Linked DNA regions of Macaca mulatta. Each later gene encodes a partner of the first gene's protein in a complex. Links are inferred from orthologs where the notes say so. Each region holds a gene or a part of one and is shown in the gene's direction. Other genes may lie near its edges.

Region 1 (12,287 bases):
TTGTATTGGATGTAAGGTCTTACTCTGTTGCCCAGGTCTGGAGTGCAGTGGCACAATCATGCCTCACTGCAGCCTCGCACTCCTGGGCTCAAGCGATCTGCCCGCCTCAGTCTCCCAAAGTGTTAGGATTACAGGAGTGAGCCACTGCACCTGGCTTGATTACTAATCTTAATCTAGTAATACATCATAAGGAAATAATTGGCCTAGTATTATTTATAGTATTAAAATTTTGAAACAACTTAATACGACCAACAGTTGGAAGGATTAAGTAAATTTTAACAGTAAAATATGAAATAATTAAAAAGGATGATTTTGTTGATTTGGAACAATACAGAAAAATGCCTGGTGTGGTGGCTTACACTTGTAATTCCAGCACTTTGGGAGGCTGAGGTGAGCGGATCGCTTGAGGCCAGAATTTCCAGAGCAACCTGGCCAAGATGGTGAAAACCCATCTCTATTAAAAATACAAAAATTAGCCGGGCATGGTGGTGCATGCCTGTAATCCCAGCTACTGGGGAGGCTGAGACATGAGAATCATTTGAACTCAGGAGGCGAAGGTTACAGTGAGCCGAGATTGTACCACTGCACAAAAAAAAAAAAAAAAAGAAAAATGCTTATGACTAAAAATTGTACACTATGCAGAGCAATTGAACTCATACATTGCTGGTGGGAGTGGTATAGTCATTTTGGGAAACAAGTCTGGCAGTTTCTTGTAAAGTTAAATTAGCAGTCCCATTCCTAGGTGTTTAACCATGTTAAATGAGAACCAGTGTTCATATAAAAACTATATACAAATGTCTACAGCATCTTTATTCATAATTTCCAAAAACTGGAAACATCTCACATATTTCTCAGATGAGGAGTGAAACTAAAGTATAGTACATTCCATACAATGGGACGCTACTCCGCAATAAAAAAGAACGGACTATTAATATACAAGAACATGGATGAATCTCAACTGCATTATGCTAAATGAAAGAAGCCAGACTCAAAAGGTTATGTACTATCTGATTTCGTTTATATAACATTCTAGAAAAGGCAAAACTAGGGATGGAAAATTGGTTTGATTGGTTAGCATAAGAAAATTTGGTGGGGGGCGGCAGTGTCTTGAGTTGGTTGTGAAATATCTCTTGGCATTTGTCAAAACTCTTAGAACTGTACACCAAAAAGGAGTCAATATTTTTATTTTAATTTTTGTTTTTTGAGACAAGGTCTTATTCCATTGCCCAGGCTGGAGTGCAGTGGTGCAATCACGGCTCACTGCAGCCTTGACTTCTTGGGCTCAGGTAGTTCTCCCACCTCAGCCTCACCTGTAGCTAGGACTACCATACCCTGCTAAGTTTTCTATTTGTTGTAGAGACAGAGTTTCACCACTTTGCCCAGGCTGGTCTTGAACTCCTGGGCTCAAGCAATCTGTCTGCCTTGGCCTTCCAAAGTGTTGGGATTATAGGCATGGGCCATATCACCTGGATGTAAATTTTATATAGATTTTTTAAATGCTTACAAAATAGCCCTAAGAGTCAACAAAAAATTGCATGTGAAAAAACTATTTTTTTATATATACTATCTATATCTATATATCTATATATCTATATCCATATCTATATCTATATCTATATTTTTGTGAGACGGAGTCTTGCTCTATCATCCAGGCTGGAGTGCAATGGCATGCTCTCAGCTCACTGCAACCTTCGCCTCCCAGGTTTAAGCAATTCTCCTGCCTCAGCCTCCCGAGCAGCTGGGATTATAGGCGTCTACCACTACGCCTGGCTAATTTTTGTATTTTTAGTAGAGATGGGGTTTTACCATGTTAGTCAGGCTGGTCTCGAACTCCTGACCTCAGGTGATCCGCCCGCTTTGGCCTCCCAAACTGCTGGAATTACAGGCATGAGCCACCACACCTGGCAAAAATGTTTTTAAAAATTGTACACAATGTTTAAAATTATTTTTTAAAAAGTACTGGTAAGAAAGGCATTACCAAAATGATGACAGAGGTAATACTAAGTGCGATTATAGATGAGGGTTTTCCTTTATTAATGCTTAATAGTTTTATTTAATGGATCATTTTCTTTCTTTCTTTCTTTTCTTTGCCCTTTTCTCTTTTTGCATTTACCAGGTCGCAGAACCCTAGCTGTAATCACTAAACTTGATCTCATGGATGCGGGTACCGATGCCATGGATGTATTGATGGGAAGGGTTATTCCAGTCAAACTTGGAATAATTGGAGTAGTTAACAGGTTAGCAGTTAGAATGGGATAAGAATTGGTAGAGCAATCACTTCAGAGCAAGTCTGAATTTCTAAAATCTGTTTGAAATGTGATACTGTCCTGTATTTTTTCTCCCTTTTACTATGATCTTGGTATTGCTAAAGAATCAATTGCCCTAAAGGGAGAAAAGAGATAGAAATTTTTTTTTTTTTTTGGGAAACAGGGCGTCTCTGTTGCCTAGGCTGGAATGCAGTGGCGTGATTGTGGCTTATTGTAGCCTCGACCTCTGGGCTCAAGTGATCCTTCCACTTCAGCCTTTCAAGTAGCTGAGACTACAGGTGTGTACCACCACACCTGGCTAATTTTTAATTTTTTTTGTAGTGACAAGGTCTTGCCATGTTGCCCAGGCTTGTCTCGACTTCTTGGGCTCAAGCAGTCCTCCAACCTTGGTTTCCCAGGTGCTAGGATTACAGGCATGAGCCACTATGCCTGCCCCCGTAGAAATTTTTAATGGAAAATGTTTCTAAAGTAAGCAATACCACAAAATGGAAGAAATGTTGTAATAGCCAGGCTTTAAGAATTCTTGCCTATCATGTTAAGCAATGTATGAGGAGGTGCTGGGTAAGGGAAAAATTACCTAATGTATACACAGTCGAGAAAGAGTTTAAGGTGGCAGGATTTTAATAGATTGGTTTAATCCCTAGCATTAGTGATTTTGTGTAATTGCCAGGATGTGACTTGGAGAAATTTTATTAAAGGTATCCTAATTATAAATAGTTGGTATTAAAAATTGGAAAAAGGAAACTATTATTGAGTGTCTAATTATGTTTTAGACACTCTACTCTGAGCAATTTGCAAATGGTATCTCTTGGAATCCTCACAGCATCCCCTGAGGTAGGTGTTGATGTCTATTTTATAATCAGAAACCTCAGGTTATACATTTAACCAAAAGTCACATGGGTAGTGAAAGAGCTGGACTCGGATGAATCTCTCTTTTAGTCCAAAGCCTTCATATGCTAGGAAACCCTGAAATTATCATGAAATCTGAGTTCTAGTCCCAGTTCTTCCATAAACTAGATACAATGTAGGTTTAAATGACACCTAATGTCTTTGGGTCTCAAGCCTTTAGAAAATGAAAATGTTTTTACTACCTGATATATAAGATCCATTCCAGTTGTCTGCTTCTATTTTAATGTCCTTCCATCCCATCCCTCCTGTCATTCTCCCATCCCCACTCTCAATTCCAACTGTCTCTTTTTTCAGGCAAGGAGGTGGCGCAAGCAACACTGTTCATTATTTGTAGATGATTGTTCTTCAAATTAACTTAATTATTTTTGGGCGAAATTAGTTCCCTGGCATGGATAAAATATACAATTGACTAAGATACTCTTATATTTTTATACCTGTTTATACCTGTTACTTATTGTTTTTGTCTATAGTTAATGGTAATAATGAGGCCTACTCTATTTAGGCACTAGTTACTTATAATTCACTTAGTTCAAGTCTTGGCTATGCCAGTTAGTGTGTGACCTTGGGTAAGTTAGTCTCTGTGAGCCTCAGTTCCTTGCTATACAATGGGGTAGTAATACCTGTCACATAAAATTATTGTGAGAATTAAATAAAACAGTCCCTGTCAGGTATTAGAGAATAATGGCTGGTGCTGTCATCATCTGAGGTAGGAAGAGGACAACCATTAAGCTGAATAGTTTTGTAATTTTTTCAACCTCAGGAGCCAGCTAGATATTAACAACAAGAAGAGTGTAACTGATTCAATCCGTGATGAGTATGCTTTTCTTCAAAAGAAATATCCATCTCTGGCCAATAGAAATGGAACAAAGTATCTTGCTAGGACTCTAAACAGGTAATTTTTTTACCTTTTGGAAATGAGATGTGTTTGTTTTTACCAATAGGTGTCTGAGAGGGTTCATTTTCAGTTCCTTACATTTTCATACTGTTCCTAACAGCTTCACTTATGGTTTCTTATATAGTAGGTTCCTGAAGAGTAGATGTCTCTATTTTTATTGGGGTGGTTGACATTACATCATCATGTAGTCTAGAATGAATGTTCAAGTGATTTTAAGATGTTTTAATTATGAAAATTTTGACAGTTAATTTAGTTTTGTGGATACAACTAGAGATGACTTCATTTGCACTTTGCATTTCAGCAACTGCATTAAAATTTGTAATTTTCACATTATCTATTCTTAACTTAGAATGTCTTTTATTTACCAGGGAAGGGAGATGGAAAAACAAAGAAATAGAATGTCTTTTATTCCTATTCACTGTAGAAATAACTTAAGTTGTATACGTTGGATTCTGAATACTCATTGATGGTGGGGGACTAGAAGATGTTTCTAGATTATTTATAAATGACTGAAGTGGAAGCCATTTTCTCTTACTTTTATTCCTTAAAGACTGATAGATTTGGATCTTAATAAGGTTGATTTTTACTTTGCTGGTTACTAATTGTAAATGACAAGTCAATGAAACCAAAATTATATAGGAAGAATTGATTGAGTGGCTTGCTTTCTCTGTGGTAACTGCAGTAATATGAAAATAATTTGCATTTTTTTTCCTTTTATGATTTAGGAAAAACGAATACAAATTGTTTTTTTCCTATTTACACACAGTTAATCAGTATGGCACATAATGCTTCTGAGAGCAGATACATGGGGAGTTTTCCCCATACATCAAGCAAGGAATTCTCCAGGGGATTGTAGCTGAATGTCCTTTAATTCAATGCTAACACTATTTACCTGGCGATAGCGTCAGCTCCCACAGTTTGAGGGTTCAGTCCCACAAGACTGCCCCCAAGTCAGATGCTAGTTGTAAGCACACATTGTAGCCTGTGTTTCTGACTGATGGACTATAAGTCAGGGTACCCATGACTCCCGTTTCATGTTTGATTAATTTGTTAGAGTGGCTCACAGAGGTCAGGGAAACACTACTTAACATATACCCATTTACTATAAAGCATATTAGAAAGGATATAGGTAAATAGCCAGATGAAGAGATGCACAGGGCTGGGCATGTGGGAAGGAATGTGGAGCTTCCGTGCCCTCTCTGGGCACACCACACTCTGGGAACCTTCATGTGTTCTACTCTCTGAAGACTCCGTGAACTGCGTCCTTTTGAGTTTTTATGGAAACTCCATTGGCCACTGGTGATCAGCTCAACCTTTGGCCTCTCTCCCTTCTTCTGAGGCTGTTCTGGTGACCAGCTCCCATCCTGAAGCTATCTAGCCACCAGTCATCTCATTAACATGCAAAGACACTCTAAACACTCTTATGCTTTTGGAGAGTCCAAGGATTTTAGGAGCTGACTGCCAGGAAATGAAGACAAAGACCAAATATATATTTCACAGTATCACATTTGCCAGGACAAATTATTTGATAGGTTTTCCCCATTTTAAAAATTTGACTTATTTTACTTTTAAATCCTTCCTTTCTAAAAACCTTTTTTAGGTTACTGATGCATCACATCAGAGATTGCTTACCAGAGTTGAAAACAAGAATAAATGTTCTAGCTGCTCAGTATCAGTCTCTTCTAAATAGCTACGGTGAACCCGTGGATGATAAAAGTGCTACTTTACTCCAGCTTATTACCAAATTTGCCACAGAATATTGTAACACGATTGAAGGAACTGCAAAATATATTGAAACTTCAGAGCTGTAAGTAAGAAATGTTTCTGTAGATTTGGTTACCTAGAGTGCTAGGTCACTTTTCCTTTTGTGAAGATGACTTCAGCTCAGATTATCTGAGATTTGTTATCTATAAAACAAAAATATAATTTTGTAGAGATAATAGGATGATGTCTGGTTGTGTGAAAATATGTTTTGTAAATGATGTAAAGCAAAGTAAAATTTTCATGTATTTGTAAAACTATTTTAATAAGAAAAAATATTTCTTAATTTAGCTTTTAAAGTGTTTGTTTCTTTAGTACACACATTATAATTGCTCATAAAAAATTAGAAAATGCAGATAAGTAAAAATAAAACATAAAAACAAAATTACATGGTGGTGTGCACCCGCAGCCCCAGTTGCTCAGGAGGCTGAGGTAGGAGAATCCCTTGAGTTCAGGAGTTCAAGGCCAGCCTGGGCGACATATTGAGACTCCCTTTCTCTCTCTCTCTTTTTTTAAAATTAAATCCAAATTTTATTAAGGATTTCAAGTTACATACTTCAGATTTCTAGAATGGAATGGAATAATTTTGGAACTGGAAAAATGGCATAAACACTGACATCCCTTGAAACTTCAATTTTATAAAGAAAATTCTTCGGCAAACCACATCCCCATTATGTAACAAGACTAGGTATTATCTACACCTTCACTTTGGCAACAGCTATTTCCTAAAAGAATGAAAAAGATGATTTTGCTATCTCAGTTAGTTAAAAATGGGATTCTGGCCAGGCACAGTGGCTCATGCCTGTAATCCCAGCACTTTGGGAGGCTAAGGCGGGCGAATCACCTGACGTCAGGAGTTCGAAACCAGCGTGGCTAACATGATGAAACCCCATCTCTACTAAAAATACAAAAACTAGCCGGGCGTGGTCGCAGGCAGCTGTAATCCCAGCTACTTGGGAGATTGAGGCAGGAGAATCTCTTGAACCTGTGAGGTGGAGGTTGCAGTGATCCGAGATGGTGCCACTGCACTCTGGCCTGGGCAACAAAGCAAGACTCTGTCTCAGAAAAAAAAAAGTGATTCTGTCTTTAAAGTTCAGAAAAAGCTGCATTTAGATGAACTACGGTTACCAAAAACAAACAAACAAACAAAAAAAACCAGTGTCTAATCAAAGCAAAGGAAATCATTTTGAAAATAAAGAGAACAAAGCTGTTATAATTGGTTAAGGATTTCCAGTAGTAAGTTAAAATCTCAGGAGAGGAATGGATAGCACTACAAACAATGTGTTCACTTCCAAGACCTTAACACTAACTTCTCAAAAAGGAAGTTTTCATCACCTCTAAAAATGAATTCAATGTAATTTTGTTAAAAGCAGGAAATCTAGACCTTCCTGTAATGACAATCCAATAGTCCACCCTCACCATCGTCAAAAGAAAGTTGCCTCAAAATCAACAGTAATTAGCCTGAGGTATTGTAAATGTGGCTCTACAGTCTGAAATTTAATGGCATCTTTTGTCAAAAATAGTCTTATTTCCACTTTACTCTCATGACTACAATACTATAGTGCTCTCCCTGTAGTACTACAACGCAGTCATACAGAAAAAAATTCTTTCACCTTGTGAAATAGTGCATCCATCCACTTCTATAAAAATAGGAGCCACACTGGCCGGGCGCGGTGGCTGTAATCCCAGCACTTTGGGAGGCTGAGGCAGGTGGATTAAGAGGTTGAGAGATCGAGACCATCCTGGCCAACATGATGAAACCCCGTCTCTACTAAAAATACAAAAATTAGCCGGGTGTGGTGGTGCATACCTGTAATCCAAGCTACTCAGTAGTCTGAGGCAGGAGAATTGCTTGAACCTGGGAGTTGGAGGTTGCAGTGAGCTGAGATCGCACCACTGCACTCCAGCCTGGTCAACAGAGAGACACACTGTCTCCAAAAAAAAAAATTTTATATATATATATATATATATATATATATATATTTATATATATATATATATTTATATATATATGTATATATTTATATATATATTTGTATATATTTATATATATATTTGTATATATTTATATATATTTATATGCCACACAAAGATCACTAACTGATAATTTAATTGATAACTGAACTGTTTTCTAGTTTAGTTATCAAAGTGTGGTGTGAACAACATGCTGAGTGTCACACTGGCATTACAAATAGGCCCAAAATTTTGAGCTTTTAACGAGATCAAGAAACATTTTATGAGATTTAACTCAATATGCCTTAACACATCCATAAGGTAGTTAAATAAACAGTACTACACATTTTAATACATAGCAAACAGAAGCATGGGTAATTGACATACTCATACTTTAAGCAATAAGAATTAGAAGAAACCACAGAAGCTTGGGGCCTTCTCTCTAGCTCTACCCCAAAGAAAATGAACTTTAACTTTTTTTTTTTTTTTAAGCATCATATCACTTAAAATTTTCTTCTTCTTCTTCTTTTTTTTACACTTGCTTATTAGTATAGTATCTCTTTCCAAAGCTGGTACCCTTTTCACTAATGTGGTAAAAACTGAGTATAACCCTTAATTCAAGCTAGGCCTCTGCTTCTACCTGAATTGGTACAAAATTAAGACATTATCTTGTAAGAACTAAAATTGTATTTGAAATTTTTATTTTAGGCTACAAAAACAAGCAAATAAACAACAAATAACTTGAAAATAGGTCTTGTCAAATGATGTAAATTCATCCTTTCCAGGGAAGCAGAAGGTAGATCCTACTACAAAGAAAAGATGCTTAGTTAATGGAGGTTAAATTTAAAAGTATAGTGAAATTCAGGCTAACTTCTGAAAATCCTGTCTTATTCATCTCACTGTTGTACCAGTAACTATACTGAGTCAGGTTACTTTACAGTTAACTATTTCACCTATAACACAATAATCCATTAACAATCTAATACAGTTATTGGGTGTGGTCATACTGGAAATTCTTAAATTCTTAACCATATAGTTGTCTTGCCCATTTTTTTTTTCTTTCAGACCGAGTCTTGCTCAGCCACCTAGGCTGGAGTGCAGTGGCATGATCTCAGCTCACTGCAACCACCATCTCCTGGGTTCAAGCGATTCTCCCGTCTCAGCCTCCTGAGTAGCTGGGATTACAGGCACCTGCCATCATGCCCAGCTAATTTTTGTATTTTAGTAGAGATGGGGTTTCACCGTGTTAGACTGGTCTTGAACTCCTGACCTCAGGTGATCTGCCTGCCTCAGCCTCTCAAAGTGCTAGGAATATAGGCGTGAGCCACTGCACATGCCAATTTTTTTTTTAAACGAATTGTCTTAGTATAAGTCCCTGCATTTCTGTAACAAAGTAATGAAAGGCATAGCTAATCCAAGCAGACTTAACCCTATTCAACAGACAGCTGAAAATATACTTTGGTTCTTCAAGGAAAAAATTCCGGGAAAAAAAAAAAAGTGTTTCCTTTAACAGTTGTTAATTTTCATAGCTGTACTCCAAGAGCTACATAAAAAGATTCCAGAAGAACCAAATTATTAGCAATGAATGAACATGTGTGACAGAATTTGTGCATTCAACATATCTGGCAGAAAAACTAGTGAAAATGCTAGCTAGAACAAATTGGTCTTTAAAATATCAGTTTCCTGTCCTTTAAAACAAAAATTACGTAGTCTACCAAGAAAATACAAAAACATAAGGCAGTAAGTAAGAGTTGTGTTTAGGCTATTACAGTGCAGGTTATCCTCAAGGCCACATATATCCTGCTTCACTGCTGCTTGCATTCTGCTGGGTTTTGATCCTTCTTCAGGTCATAGTCTGGATCATTTCCCTCATCTCCTTCATCTTCCCCTTCCTCATCTGCTTCTTCACCTTCTTCACCATACTCATCATCATCATCTTCCGTAACTCCTCCAGTAAACTGTAACACTGATCTTGGGATTACATGCTCACATAAAAAGCGACCAATGTTGAAGTCTGCAGCGAGGACAGCTTCAGCAGCATCATCCAGATCTCCACTCTCAGGAACTTCAGGAGGGGCAAGAAAATTAAAGAGTCATTGGAAACTGTTTTGGTCACAGTACGAATTGTCCCATGTACCTTGTGTTTCTGCTTCTTAATGGTTTTCAAAGTGACATTCTTTCCTTTTTTCCAATCTATCTGGCCCCCTGTACAACCCATAATTTCTGGTCCATCAAAAGAAAAGGGATCAGAATCATCTGGTTCTGGTTCTAACATTATCCTACATGTCTTTGTCAGCACTTCATTTGTAAAATATTCACTGGGTTCAAAGTGAAATTCTAAGACAAAACTCTTCGGCTAGCCAGCATCTGAGAACTTCACTTTAGTATCATCGAAATGCTTCAGAATAGGTTCATCATGTTCCTGAAGCATATCACTGAGTAAGTCAACATTCTTAAAAACAGGTAACCAAAATTCAGGAATTCCTTTGGGGTCTTCTTTTTCTTCATCCTTTTTCTCATCTTCAGTCTTGGCCTTTTCTTTCAACTCCTCTGAAATCTCATCTTCTTCATCTGGTTTCCATTCACATTCTTCATAGGTTCATAAATTGCATTAATAATCATAAATTGCTTATCAAATAGAGGCTGATAGAGAACAGCATACTTTCTTTCAAGATTGTGAACTTCCTCATATAATTTGGCTTCTATCTGTGCACTTATGCAGGTTTTTGAGAGTATTCACTCCTCTTTTAACTACCCTAGCTAGGCAGGTTGTCAATGTCTGCCATGTTGTAAGAACTCAAATATCAGAGGCTAGTATGGGGAGCCAGGCGGGTGGAGCTGTGCAGGCAGTGACTCAGGGCAGCAGCGGTGGTGGGAGGAGCAAGAGGAGGTGGTGGGAGGAGCAAGAGGCAGCGCTGCAAGCAGATGGCGCTAAAAAAGGAGACCCCATCTCTGAAAACGAAAACAAACCCTTAATTTCACCAACCCGAGATAATTCCTAAAATTTGGCATTGAACTAGGCATTTTTCTATGCATCTATAACACATAGATGACTGTACTACATATCTTTAAAAATCAGATGCTATACCTATCTTGGAATCATTTCTTAAATCATGTAACAAATAACTTTCTATCTCATACATTATCAGTCTGAAGATTTGCATAGTATTTTACTTTTTAGATATACCCTCATTTGTTGGGCCAGTCTCCTACTACTGGATAGTTTGTTTTCTGTTATATACACATATAAGCTGTGATGGACTACCTGCATCTATCTTTGGGGCTTGTGTCCAAGTAAACACTGAGGATAAATTTGTAGAAGTAAGTTTATTAGATTAAAGGATATAATATCCTTAGAATCTTTCATTACATATTGCATATTGTTAGCATATTGTACTGTTTTACTACTAGCAAGAACAACCATTTCTCTAAAAACATCTTTTTATTCTGAAATAATTATAGACTCACAGGAAGTTGCAGGGTGATGTACAGGGAGGTCCCACTCACCCTCCACTGTGTACCCTTTCCCCAACTTCCCCCACTGTTGGACATCTTGCATAACTACAGTACAATAACCAAGTGAGAAATGGACATGGGTACAAGCCACAGAGCTTGTTCAGATTTATACGTTAACTCATTTGTGTGTGTGTGTGTGTGTGTAGTTCTATATACTTTAGTATAACCGAGATGGTCTTCATATGGTCAACTCTGTCAAGAGAGTATTTATCAGACTAATTATTGAATGGTTATATATATGGCATATTGAAAAAAATAAAGATGACCACAAATGGGCCTTTAAAGAGTTTAGTGGGTAAAGTAGGTCAAGGTAATACTGGGCTTGATTAGGCTGCAAAAGTATAACTTTTATTTAAATACTTCTTATTGTTATATATAATTCATATTCAGAAAAGTACATATAGCGTATATGAACACTTTATAAATAGTTAATGAACCAATTATCTGTGTCTACCTAATGAAGCGTTTCAGACATTGAAGAGAGACCATTGACATTTATTTCAGGGTTTGGGAGAGCTCCACATATAAGAAGGCATTTGAATTGGGCTCTGAATAGAATTTGAGAAGCCAGTAATGAGAGGGTGTTTCAGGCTTGGGAACAGCAAAGAATAATGCAAGAATACTGTTTTTGTAGAACAGCATGTATAGTGATGGGACATAATAGGAGATGAGACAGGAAGGGTGTCTAGGAACAAGACTGTAGATACAAAGTCTTTTCTGTCTTGCTCTGTCGCCCACTCTGGAGTGCAGTGGCGTGATCTCGGCTCACTGCAACCTCCGCCTCCCAAGTTCAAGTGATTCTCCTGCCTCACCCTCCCCAGTAGCTGGGACTACAGGCGTGTGCCACCATGTCTGGCTAATTTTTTTTTTTTTTTGTATTTTTTTTAGAGATGGGGTTTCACCATGTTAGCCAGGATGGTCTCGATCTCATGAACTCATGATCCACTTGCCTTGGCCTCCCAAAATGCTGGGATTACAGACGTGAG
Region 2 (12,929 bases), on another chromosome or scaffold:
TGACTGGAGGGGCAATGGGCAGGGGTGGGAGGTCAGGGCCAGGCTCACCGCCTCCCTCCCACCCCCCTACCGAGGGGATCAGACGCACGGGCAGTGAGGTGAGCTGATTTCGGGACAGGTTCAGAGTTTCCACGTGCACCCACTGGTCTATGCACAGGGACAGCTCTGTGATCTGGTTGCTGCTGAGGTTGAGGCGGCGCAGGCTGGGGAGGGTGTACAGGCACTCAGGCACCCGCGTCAGGTCGTTGCAGGACAGGTCCACATCTGGGGTGCAGGGTGGGGTGCATCAGCTGGGGCCCATGCAGCAGGTGCCAGGGCAGCCAGCCCCAGTGTGAACCCCAACTCTGCCACCTCTGAGCTGCGTGGCCTTAGGCAAATGACGACTGCCGTGCGCCCAAGTTTCTCCATTTGGACAAAGTCCCTCACACGGGGCTTTGGGAGGGGTGTCTGGGCATAAAGTCAGTGTTAAGACATCATCATCATCATCGCAGAAGTCACTGTAACATAACTGTAGCTTTTTCCCTCTGGGCACTGGTCTGAGGAGCAGGGTTCAACCCCCTTCACCCATAAGGAAGCAAGAGGGCCCAAAGCGGGCCACAGCTCAGAGGGGCTCCTGGGGCTGCCTGACCTGCGAGGTTGCTCAGACCCTCGAGGCTGGTGGGGAGGTTACTCTGGGTGCGCTGGGTGCTCCGCAGGTGCAGGGTCTGCAGGGCGGTCATCGCTGGGAGCTGCCTGCCAGGGTGATGTGAGTGGTCAGGGCCAGGGCCCACCTAGGGGGTGTCAAGGGTGGGGCCTGGCAGGGCAGGACCAAGAGCACAGGGCCCTGAGGGTAGGTGTGAAGTCTCATCTGGCCGAAGGGACAAGCCCAAGGGTGGTGCAGGGCGTGTAAGCGGGAAGACAGGACTGAGAGGTGGACATGATACTTAGGAGGTTGGAGACTGAGGGGTGCTGCCTGCATGGAGGGATGGCTGGGCCCAGTGGAGAAGGGCTGGGGCTCTGGGAAGTTAAGGGGCCAGGCCAGACTCCTCAGGGTGGCTTCTGCAGGAGTGCGGCCCGAGGGGGCGCCCACCGGAGCTGTGCATGCAGCAGAGGGTTCCCATTGAGCACCAGCGTCTGCAGGTGCACCAGGCGGCGCATCTGCGGGGGCAGGCTCTCCAGGCGGTTCTCGCTGAGGTCCAGGTACAGCAGGTCGGTGAGGTTGATGAAGAGCTGGTTGGGGATGGTGTCAATACTACGGGTGGGGAGCAGGAGCCACCTGAGTCAGCACCGGCCACCCCCCCAAGGCCCACCTGCCCCCTGCCCCTGGCTGGCCTGGCACCTGTTGTGGCTGAGGTTCAGCACCAGCATGTTCTTGGCGTTCTCCAGCTCCCGCGGGCACTCCGTCAGCTGGTTGTGGCTCAAGTCCTGGGTAGAAGGGGCAAGACCCAGGTCAGGGGAGTCTCCACCCTGCCAGGCTTCTGCCAAGCTTGGGGATCAGGCCAGGGCACTGAGTTGGGTGTGGGGGTAGATGAGGGGGTTTCAGGGCCAAAGAGAAACAGTCAGGGACTTGGGAGGAAGAGTGCCTGGGTTAGGGATCTGACTCCAAAAGTGACCTCAGGCAAGGTACTATCCACTCCAAGACTCAGTTTTCCCATCTGCAAAATGGGATGACAATGGCCCCAGGGACTTTTATAGTGAGTGGGGATTGAATGGTCCGGCTAGCATAGGGGCCAGATGAGTCGGTAGCCACTGACCAGGACTGAGAGGTCATCTAGCTTGAAGATGTCATCGGGGACTCCAGAATTCTTCAGACAGTTGGCTCGGGCCACGATGGCCTGGGAATAAACCATAAGAGTCTATGATTCTTGGCTTCTACTCCCAGAAAGGAACAGAGAGTCTAGAGAGGGACACCTCCTCAGGAGGCTCACCAGAGGCCAGGCCTGAGGACTCTCTTACCTCTGGCCTTTGATCAAATAGCCTCCTCTCTTGGAGGGCTCTTACTAGCCTCCCAGTGAACTCCTAGTCACACCTCAAAGCCCAGCCCAAATGTGCCCCGGAGCCCAGCACAGGGCCCTCAGGGAATCTTTTCTGTTCAAATAATTTCTCTTCTTCTTAATGCCAGAAGGTAAGATAGGGGTAAGGTCTGAGTCAGGGTTTTCAGAACAGAGGGAGAGAACTCGAAATCAGCATCTGGACTGAGAGGAAGTCTGCTTTCTCTCCCTAACTTAAGGCTGACACCTCCTTACACCTTACAGAGATGCAGAAAGCTTGAGCGTGAGAGGGAACAGGGCCAGAGAATGGTGCTGTGACTGCAAGTGACAACGGGAGTCACTGGAGCTGCCCCGCCACTTCTCCAGTCCGAATGCCTGTGTGGCACCCTGCTGCTGCTTCCTGAGGTCACTGCTGCCCCTCCCAACCACTGCACTTGCAGATGAGATGCAGAAAGCAGAAGGGATTTGCACAAGGTCACATCGCCAGGAAGTGGCAAAGCCCAGCTTTGAACTCAGAGAGTCCAAGTGAGAAGCTGTGCCCGAAACATCTCCAGGGCTCTGACTTCAGATGAGAATGGCCCTTGTTGAGGCCTACAGGGTCTGGCCAAGGGCCTGATGCCCTGGGACGTTCAAGTCTTGGGTAGAAGGTACACGGTGCTCCTGGCCAAACCCTACTCAACCCCAGCTCTACCACTGCCTGGCTCTGTGACCTGGGGCAAGTAATCTGCCTTGGTGGCCAAGTTTCTCTTCCGCAACATTAGTGGAGGGTTAGAGCATATGAAAAAATCCTAATAGAATAATGGGAACATGGCTCAGCCTGTATTGGTTATTATTACCGTAGTTACTGTCCATAATGGCTGGTAAGATTTTGGATTTATCTTTTTCCCAAGAGAATTCTCTGATCCACATGGGTTACTTTACGCAGGGCACTGCTGTAACCTCTAACAAGGGGGCCCCTCTTGTGACACCTGAACCTCTGAGCCTGACACGGAGGCGGGCAGAGATGCTGGCCCAGCCTGGCGTCTGGCCCAGGCTTCATGTCCCTGGCCAGACCCTGGTCCCAACCCCAAGCCTGGTGGCCTCCCGGCCAGCACTCACGCGCAGTGACGGCAGGCTGGACAGTTCCCCGTGAAGTGTGGTCAGGTTGTTGTGGCTCACAGACAAGTGTTCCTGGGCCGGAATGGGGAGCACAGGCTCAGTACGGTGGATGGGGTGTCCAGAGTCCCCGCCTGCCTCCACACCTCTGCACCATCCAGGAAGGCCTCAGCCACGCTGGCCCAATTCCCCCTGCAGCCTCCCTCCCTCACGGACCCAGCCTCTTCTTGCATACCTCCCTGGACAGGGTGCCCACTCCCTTTCTTCCAGCTGTGCTCATAGCTGTCAGTGTTCTTCCTCTCTCTGGAGAAGTTGTTTGCCTTCTCCACAGGCTCTGCCCATCTGGCTTATCCACAGGGACCCTCCCCTGCCTGCCCAAAGCCCCTTACCAGCTTCTGCAGGGCAGCCAGTTCCTCGGGCAGGTAGCAGAGGCCAGTGCGGTTCAGCTTCAGCCATCGCAGGCTGGTCATGGCCTTGACATTCTCAGGGAAGTAGCCGCCCTGGGGGAAGGATGTGAAGGTGAAGCACAGAGCCCCTGCTCACCACCTTCTATGGCTCCTCCAGCCCATGGGAGCCTTTGGGGAGCCACAGAACCAATTCTCACCAGCCGTGAGAACACAGACAAGTCATTTCATCATTGCACCTCAATTTCTTCACCCATAGAATGGGACTAATAAAAGCCCCCCTGTGACAAAAGTGTTGGCCTAAGATTTGTCTATCCTACTGGATTCTGGGCCCCAGGAGGGCCAGGACAAAACTGGCTTGTTTCAGGTGAGAGCCCAGCACCCGGCACTGTGGTTAGCTCTGCTCAAATTCCTTCACCCAGCATTCCACGCTCTGACTGGAGGCCTGGGGTGGGGGATTCCCCCCTCCAAGCCTTTGCAAAGGCCCCACCTGTACCCTCACCCTGCCATCAGCACACAGGCGATTCACACAGCCAGGGCCAAACTCTTGCTTGTGGAGACCGTGGCTCCCCACCCTGCAGGGCAGGGCCGTATCACTGCACTCCCCCAGTGTGTGAACGCCCACCTTGGCACCCAGCCCTTGTGGCACCAAGTCTGGGGCAGCACGTGCCTTCAGTGCCCGCGGCTGGTATTCCTCTCCCCCTGGGGCCACATTCCCAGCTGGTGACTCAGACTCTCCCAGTTCAGCAAAGAGGAACAGAGACCCCAGGTTAGGGTGGTGGGGATGGGGTCAGGGAAAAGTGGTGTGGACACTTGTACTTTGGGTCAAAGGTGTGTACACATGCAGGTAAACGCAGGAAAAACCTGCGTTTTCATTCTCGGCCCCAGACTGACAACCCAGGCAGACCCTGCCAGTCACCCACCCTGAAAGTGAGGCTGACCCTCCAGCCAGCTCTTCCCTCCTCTCTTTTTCTGCTTCCCCTATGGTACGGCGATGCCTGTCTCATTCCTGAGTCCTGGAACCACCTCCCGCCCCACCCACTGGCTACAGAGGGCTGGGCTCCGTCATTTTCTCTCTCAGTACAGCAGCTGCTCAGACCCAGCACCTGGCACACCCGCCTGACACACTCTCCACACCAACAAATCTCACTACACCCCTTGCATCCAAGGAGGCGACTTTTAAGCCCTTTCACCGGCTGAGAAAGCCCGGGCTCTGAGAGGGGAAGTGATCTGAGAGGCCCAGGATCACACAGGATGGCGGGTGGCGGTGGCGGGGAGAGGGCAGTGATGAGTCGGCTCCGCACCCGCCCCTGGGCGGCCAGGCCGCCATCCCTGAGTCAGGGCCTGGCTTGGGCGTGTGACCTCTCGGGGGCGGGGAGGCTCGCCCGACCCCCAGGCCACCATCCAGCCCAGACGGATAACACGGACACGGGGTGGGGGCTCCCGGCCGGGTCCCCGGCGGGACTCCGAGCCCAAGCGTCCGTCCTGGGCCTGCCCGGCCTCGGTCTCCCCGTACAGGCACCGGGCGGAGGCCTCGGAGGTCCATTCCTGGCCAGGGGAGAGCCCCACCCCCGCCCCGGCCGCAGTCCCGGGGACGCGCAGGGCCTGGAGCCGGGCGGGACAGGAAGCGGAGGCCAAGCGGGCCGGGCGGAAGAGAAGGCCTGCAGGGAGGCCCAGCACGCGCCCGGTCCAGCTCACCTTGAAGTCGTTGCCGCTGAGGTCCACGCCACGCACGAACGGCAGCACCCCGGTGGCCTCCATGGCGCCCCTCTCGCTGCCGGGCCGGGCAGGGCTAAGGAACGCCGGGGCGGGGGCGGTGCGGGGAGCCACGGGCTGGGCCAGCGCCGGCCCCGCCCCTTTAACCCGCCCGCGCCGGTCGCTTTCCGCCGGGAAGGGTAGGCTTTAGGCCTCTTAGGGCCTCAGTTTCCCCGTCTGTTCAAAGACTGCGGTGGCATCAAGGAGTGCTGGGCGTCTCCTGTGCAGGAGCTGGAGGCTTCCACCATCTCCAGGCTTAAGTCCCAGCGTCTCAGGGTAGGGGCCGTAACGGCCGCTGGGCCAGGCACCGTCCCCTGTACTGCTGCAGCACATGAAGCTGGCCCTGACCTCGGAGAGATTCTAAACCCAGGCCCCGGGTCGCAGGGGCCCAGGAAGTGCCTGTACTTGGCTGACCGGTGGTAGTGAGACACCTGGCTCCTCGGGTCCTAGCTCTCCAGCTTCTGGACTTCGTTTCCTCATGTGTTGTTTTTATTTTGTTGAGACAGGGTCTTCTTGCTCTGCCGCCCAGGCTGGAGTGCAGTGGTGTGATCATAGCTCACTGCAGCCTGGAACTCCTGGGCTCAGCCTCCCGATTAGCTGGGACTATAGGCGCAGACCACCACACCTGGCTAAATTTATTTTTGTTTTTTTGTAGACACGAAGGTCTTGCTATGTTGCCCAGGCTGGTCTTGATGTCCTGGCCTCAAGTGATCCTCCGGTCTCAGCTTCTCAGAGTGCTGGGATGACAGGCGTGAGCCACCGCGCCCTACCCAGTTTCCTCATTTGTAAAATGCTTCCTAAGATTGTCACCATAAGTAAATGAACAAAGAATGCACGTGTAGCCTGCAGCATACAGCAGGCGCTCAGTGAGTGGCAGGTTATTATTCCGTTTTGTTTTGTGTGCCAGGTTTATTATTCCCACTTAGTGTCAGCACCCCTGTGCTCGTGCCCCCCTACAAAGGGAGGGTCCAGAAGAGAAGCATCTGTCTTGGTCCCTGCTGTTCACAGGGGGCTCGCCCTGGCTGACACATAGCAGGACCCCGATAAATGAGCCACAGCTGTTATATGCCCAGCCATGCTTCGTAGGGGAGGAGGGGGTCTAGTGTCCCCATTTTACAGGAGAAAAACAGGCCCAGGTGGAGAATGGCCCACATAAGCTCGCACGGAGCAGGTGGCAGGGGTCGGCACTTTCGCCACACTGTGCCTCGCAGGCCCACAGTTAAGAACGAGGCCACCAAGACACTCTCTCGCAGAGGTGATCTAACAGGTTGGATGTGCCGGGCCTCTAGCCATGTGCAGCCTCTCTACCTGGCTCCTGGAAGGAACGGGGGCCCAGACAGCTTTTTCCACACCGGAGGCTCACATTACAACGCACAGACTTCCCGGAGGGCTGCCTGTCACATCACCTGGTCGCAGGCTCGGAATGCAGCCCTGCACCTTTAAATTCGGACTGCGTCAGGGAGTCCCGCCCCGAAGGGAGCGCGTCTGTCGGCTGGGGGGCGGGGCCTGCCCTTCATTGGCTGAACTGCGCAGTATTTTGGCACCTGTGCTCCGAACTCGAGCGCTCCGATTGGACTTAGGGCCTGCTTGTCTGCGTGCTGCGAAGTCCGCGGCCGCCCCCGGGGGCCCTCGACGTCGGGTTCCAGGGTCCTTCACGTTCCAGTCTCAGGCTGGTTCGAGCTCAGGGACCGTGGTCCCGCGGCCTCCTCCGGTTGTTGTGCGGAAGCTGCGACGCAGGTACAGCTGGAGCGCGGCGGGGCGGCCCCCAGGGTCGCCGGGCTCAGGGCTTGGCGCGCGACTGAACGCTGATCGGAGGCGTGGCCCGCGGTCACGGCTGGGGAAGGCGGGGAGGGGACCTTTGGGGGACCAAGGGCCGCGTTCGAATCCCAGCCCAGCCCCCTTCCCCTCTCGGTCTCTTAGTTTCCTTGCGAACGGGGCGTCACCCGCCCACCTAGGGCTGCTGCTGCGGGCTGCACCGCCCGGGCCCACGGCAGGCGCGTTTGGCAGAGGAGGGAAGGCCAGACGGCCTCCAGGGCCTCGTTGGGCAAACTCGGGTTATTTTCAGCTACCCGTGCCCTCTCCCGCTTCCCGGAGCTGGAAGGCTGTGGGCTGAGGCCTGAGCGACCCCGCCAGTGGTGGGGCTGAGTCCCAATTTAGACAGGTTGGGAGTATTTAAAGCGCTTTACAGTTTGCAAAGTAGATTCCTGGTCTCTCTGGGGGTGGGTGGCAGTATTGATTCCCGAGTCACGGATGAGGAGACTGAAACCGGCCTTGGGGCCGTGGCGGGTCACCCGGTTGGCCTGGGATCTCCCCACAGACCGTCTTATTTTTAGTCTGGGGCGAATAGGCGGGTGTACGGGGCTGAGTCACACAGCGCTTCGGGCTTTAGCTACTCCAGGCATCTGGTCACCTGGCAACTGGGCCCCTGGCACGACACTCTGGCAGGGCAGGTGGAAGTCCTTGGTGCCCGGGCAGGCTGTGATCTCATGGTCATCTGCTCAGGCCTCCCTGGGAGAGTTCTGCCTAGTGTCTAACTGATGTCCGAAGGTCACAGCCCAGCTCATCTCCCAGGGCCTGAGGGCAGTGTCACCCTCGCAGAACGTGAGGAATGTGGACTGGGTCCTAGATCTTTGCCTCCACTTCCCAAGTGCTGGGCCCCACCCAGTCACACACTTCAAGCCTGCCCACATCTGCCTCCCACTGCTGCGTATGCCATCTTACAGGTGAGCAAACGGGCTGGGCCCAGGCCCTCACCTTCCTTTCTCTGTTGCTTGGCCTCCCTGCAGCTGAGAAGCATCACCCACCACTACCTACACATTGTCCCAAGACTGAGAGGCCCAGAGAGCCCTCTGTACAGAGGCACTGGGCAGCCCTTTCTGCCCTGCCAAAGGGGCTTCAACCCTGAGAAGCACATCTGCATTGGCCTGCCCGGGCAGCTCGGGCCGTGTCACTCTGCCTGTGCTCTGACTCGGTAGCTCTGCCTCTTGGGGCTACCCTGTCAAGATTTGGAGGGTAACTGGTTCCAGTGGTCCCCCAGACTGGCTGGGGCCCCAAATTGTTCGTCTTCTCTGGACTTTGGGCTCTTCTGAAGAGGTTATCATAGAGGGCTGCCGTGCCCTCTGGTTAGGGACTTTCAGATAAGGCTGCTGCTGAGGACCTGGCCACCTGGCACAGGGAGAATCCGTCAGACTCTGTGAGTGATGAGAGTCTGGAGGCCTTGCAGTCGTGGGTTGGAGACCTCACCACTCACTTGTGAGCTGGCAGCCTGTGGCTCTGTAACATAGGGATGGAGATGATGACACCCTGGTGATGTCAGAGGTCCTGGAGGGTGGGCTCCAGGGAGAGCGGCCCCTTCCTCTACCTGCACAAGCCTCAGGGCCTTTGCGAGCTTCTTTCCAGGGAGTAGGTTGTTTGCAGCTTTGGGGGAAGGGGCTTGGCAGCTCCCTCATCTCCTCGTGAGAGATGGGGGATTGGGGCCCCAAAACCCAAGTTCATATCTCATCCCTGCCCTTTCTTAGGTACTTTACATGGTTTCCCAGGACCTTGGTGTCCTCCCCTGTGGATGGGTGGCCCCTTTCTCTTGAGAAATTCTCAGAAAACCCCCCTCATGGGCTGAGCTCTCTTACCCAGCATAAGGACAGCCAGAGCACCTGCCCACAGAGCCCCTCTCTCAGCCTGGCCACCTGCACCTGAGCTGCCCCTTCACCCCTGGCTCTCTTACAGGCAGACCATGGCAGAGTTCTCCCAGAAACGGGGGAAGCGGCGTGGCGACGAGGGGCTGGGCAGCATGGTGGACTTCCTCCTGGCCAATGCCCGCCTGGTGCTGGGCGTGGGCGGGGCTGCTGTGCTGGGCATTGCCACCCTGGCCGTGAAGCGGGTAAGGCCAGGTGGGTGGGTCATGCCTGAGGCTCCTGCAGGAGGACAACAGGGTTGGGCTTTTCAGAGGGGCCCTGGGGAGGGGTGGGGACTGCCCAAGGCCTTGCAAGACTGCACCTGCTTCTCCACCCTGCACCCTGGTCTCCTTTGCCCCTGGGCTTTGCTATGGCTGCCCAGACTTCATATACACTGATCTCTGTGACTCTGCCTGTAGTTCATTGACAGGGCCACTAGCCCACGGGACGAGGATGACACCAAGGGAGACAGCTGGAAGGAACTGAGCCTGCTCAAGGCCACACCACACCTGCAGCCCCGGCCTCCACCTGCTGCCCTCAGCCAGCCAGTGTTGCCCTTGGCCCCCTCACCCTCTGCCCCAGGTGAGTGGCACTCCTTCCCCTCTGTTGGTGTCACATTCGAGAGACGCAGCCCAGGCTTTGCCCTGACTGACTGTGCGGCCCTGTGCGAGTCCCTGCTTCTCTCTGGGTTGCGGGCTCCTCAGACATTTAATGGGGGTGGGGTTTCTTTGTCCTGCTCCTGGAGCAAAGTGGCAGCGTTGTGATAGTGGGGAGCTTTAGATGGGGAAACTGAGGCCCACAGGGGCGTGACTTACCTACCTACTCTGCATGAAGCTGTTTTAGCCATAGGGCCAGGGTGTTGGACTCTGGGACAATGAGAACTCGTCACCAAGCGCTCACTATATGTGAGGACCTGAACTGAGTGCCTTCTCAGGTGCTATTGCAGGTGAGGAAAGTGAGGCCCTGGGACGTCACACAGCTAGCTGTCGGTGGTGTTTTCTTAACTAATCACAGGCTGTTCCGACATGTTCCCCGCCCCTTCACTCTGCAGAGGGGCCTGCAGAAACTGGTCCTGAGGTGACACCACAGCTCAGCTCCCCAGCACCGCTGTGTCTGACACTGCAGGAGAGGCTGCTGGCCTTCGAGCGGGACCATGTGACCATCCCAGCAGCCCAGGTGGCTTTGGCCAAACAGCTGGCTGGCGACATTGCCCTGGAGCTGCAGGCCTACTTTCGGAGCAAGTTCCCGGAACTGCCCTTTGGGGCATTTGTGCCTGGGGGGCCACTGTATGATGGGCTGCAGGCAGGGGCCGCGGACCATGTGCGTCTCCTGGTGCCACTGGTGCTGGAGCCGGGCCTATGGAGCCTGGTGCCGGGCGTGGACACTGTGGCGAGGGACCCTCGCTGCTGGGCCGTGCGCAGGACTCAGCTTGAGTTCTGCCCCCGCGGGAGCAGCCCCTGGGACCGCTTCCTGGTCGGGGGCTACCTCTCTTCCCGCATCCTGCTGGAGCTACTCCGAAAGGCGCTGGCTGCCTCTGTCAACTGGCCGGCCATTGGCAGCCTTCTTGGGTGCCTGATCTGGCCCAGCATGGCCTCAGAGGAGCTGCTGCTCGAGGTGCAGCACGAGCGCCTGGAGCTCACCGTGGCTGTGCTTGTGGCAGTCCCTGGGGCCGATGCTGACGACCACCTCCTCTTGGCCTGGCCCCTGGAGGGGCTGGCGGGGAACCTCTGGCTGCAGGACCTATATCCAGTGGAGGCTGCAAGGCTGCGAGCCCTGGACGACCATGACGCTGGGACCCGCCGTCGGCTGCTGCTGCTGCTGTGTGCTGTCTGCCGTGGCTGCTCGGCCCTGGGGCAGCTGGGCCGGGGTCACCTGACCCAGGTGGTCCTACGTCTGGGGGAGGACAATGTGGACTGGACGGAGGAGGCCTTGGGTGAGCGCTTCCTGCAAGCCCTGGAACTGCTCATCGGCAGCCTGGAGCAGGCCAGCCTGCCCTGCCACTTCAACCCCAGCGTGAACCTCTTCAGCAGCTTGCGTGAGGAGGAGATTGACGACATTGGCTATGCGCTGTACAGTGGCCTACAGGAGCCTGAGGGGCTGCTGTAGGTGGGTGGGAACGGGTGGCTGGCGTGTTTTCTAATGCTGGGAAGCTGCGCCCACCTCCCTTCCGGGGATTTGAATAGTGGTTTTTCTCTAGCTTTTAGCCAGAACAAAAGAGGGTACATTACTTAAACCCAGGGCATCGGGATGTGCTTGGGCTATGGTGGCCGTAAACCCTGAGCCCAGAGAGCTTGGGTCACTGTCACCTGAGTACGGCTGGGCTGGCTCAGGCAGCTTGGAGTGCCAGCCATTTCTGCAAGCACCTTTTCAGCCCTTGGGGCCAACCCCAGGACCTTGGCTCTGTCCATCACCAGCAACCAATCCACCGACAGAATGTGGTTTCTGCCATCCTGGGCAGAAGCTAAAGGCCAACTTCACATTTCTGCTGAGAGAAGGCGACTTACCGCCTTCTCCGGCCCCAGCTCCAGGCGTTTTGAGGCCTCTGGTGCCTGGTGGTAGGTATGGTGTGTTTGTTCTGTCCCCCGGGCGCTGGAGTCACCTGGTGTCCCTGAATGACAGCTTTTTGGCTGTTAAAGGATGGCGTTTTCCTGCTGTCTTCTGTGCGTTTAGTTTTCTTGTTGTGTTCTCGAGCCCTGGAGCAGGAGCTCAGTGTGACTTGCTACCCACCTGATACCTCAGGGCAAGGCCCTTTTTCCCTCCAGCCAGGTGAGTGTTTTCTTCAAGCAGCTGAGGGCCCTGGGGGAGCTGAGGCTCTGTGCTGCGCCCCCAGCCCACAGCTGGGGCATATCACTGGAGCTCTTCCAGGCCCCACTGGAGAGCAGAGGGCCTGATCCCCCACCAGAGGGGTCCGGTGTGCAGAGCCGGCCTCCCAGTGTGCCAAAATGAACTGCTCTCAGCCGATGGCTGTATTCTGACTTTGAAGCCCGTTAGAGGTAGCAGGGGGGCTAGAGGAGGGAGATTCCACCTCCCTTCCCAAGTGATCCTCCTCCTGCCTCTGGTATCCTTCCTGCTGAAATGAAGCTCTGCTTCGAAGAGGTGAACAAGAATAAAAGAAAATTCTAACGTGTAACTCAGGCTGGATAAGGGGGTCTTGGCGCTTTCACACGTAGCTGTTGGGGGTTTTCTGTAAGTCCTGTGGCTTGTCCTGGCACTTAGGCAAGGGTGCTTGAGGTCAATTGGAGGTGGTAGAGTTTACTTTAAAAAGTAACATCTTGGCCGGGCGCGCTGGCTCAAACCCATAATCCCAGCACATTGGGAGGCCGAGGCGGGTGGATCCTGGGGTCAAGAGATCAAGACCATCCTGGCCAACATGGTGAAACCCCATCTCTACTAAAAAGATAAAAATTAGCTGGGTGTGGTGGTGGGTGCCTGTAGTCCCAGCTACTTGGGAGGCCAAGGCAGGAGAATCGCTTAAATCCGGGAGGTGGAGGTTGCAATGAGCCGAGATCACACCACTGCACTCCAGACTGGCGACAGAGCAAGACTCTGTCTCAATAAATAAATAAATTAATTAATTAATTAAAAAGCATTTTGGCCAGGTGCCGTGGCTCACGCCTGTAATCCCAGCACTTTCGGAGGCTGAGGTAAGTGGATCACCTGAGGTTGGGAATTCAAGACCAGCCTGACTAACGTGGAGAAACTCCGTTTCTACTAAAAATTCAAAAAATATTAGCTGGGCGTGGTGGTGCATGCATGTAATCCCAGCTACTTGGGAGGCTGAGGCAGAAGAATTGCTTGAACCCGGGAGGCAGAGGTTGTGGTGAGCTAAGATTGCGCCATTGCACTCCAGCCTAGGCAACAAGAATGAAACTCTGTCTCAAAAATAAAAAATAAAAAAAAATCATCTCAGTCTGTTTGGGCTGTGATAACAAAATGCCATAGACTAGGTGGCTTATAAACATCAGAAATTTATGTCTGACCATTTTGGAGGCTAGAAGTCCAAGAATGAGTCACAAACAGATCCCATGTTTGGT

The links.
Region 2: the proteins of DNM1L (region 1) and MIEF2 are in contact, whole or in part, in a cryo-EM structure (PDB 5WP9), measured with the Homo sapiens proteins. The link is inferred for Macaca mulatta from reciprocal best matches to the Homo sapiens genes DNM1L and MIEF2. Residues at the interface, in NP_036192.2 of Homo sapiens: Asp190, Met191, Ala192, Thr193, Ser194, Leu197, Lys198, Ile199, Arg201, Glu202, Gly223, Thr224, Asp225, Asp228, Arg233, Val234; in NP_631901.2 of Homo sapiens: Val213, Asp214, Thr215, Val216, Arg218, Arg226, Leu230, Arg235, Val245, Gly246, Tyr248.

What each region holds. Positions count from the first base shown.
Region 1 is NC_133416.1:34,915,392-34,927,678, forward strand, and holds part of DNM1L (dynamin-1-like protein), read left to right. Parts: intron 1-2,116; coding exon 2,117-2,237; intron 2,238-3,936; coding exon 3,937-4,068; intron 4,069-5,671; coding exon 5,672-5,878; intron 5,879-9,131; exon of another isoform or gene 9,132-9,590; coding exon of another isoform or gene 9,591-9,850; intron 9,851-12,287. Other genes in the region: nucleosome assembly protein 1-like 1, read right to left, coding at 9,591-9,850. UniProt on the Homo sapiens protein: Functions in mitochondrial and peroxisomal division.
Region 2 is NC_133421.1:19,838,803-19,851,731, forward strand, and holds MIEF2 (mitochondrial dynamics protein MID49), read left to right. Parts: upstream 1-6,832; 5' UTR 6,833-6,961; intron 6,962-7,726; 5' UTR 7,727-7,933; coding exon 7,934-7,947; intron 7,948-8,947; coding exon 8,948-9,101; intron 9,102-9,314; coding exon 9,315-9,477; intron 9,478-9,946; coding exon 9,947-11,001; 3' UTR 11,002-12,025; downstream 12,026-12,929. Other genes in the region: FLII (protein flightless-1 homolog), read right to left, coding at 1-3, 89-264, 629-732, 1,070-1,231, 1,319-1,404, 1,734-1,814, 3,069-3,140, 3,455-3,565 and 1 more. UniProt on the Homo sapiens protein: Mitochondrial outer membrane protein involved in the regulation of mitochondrial organization.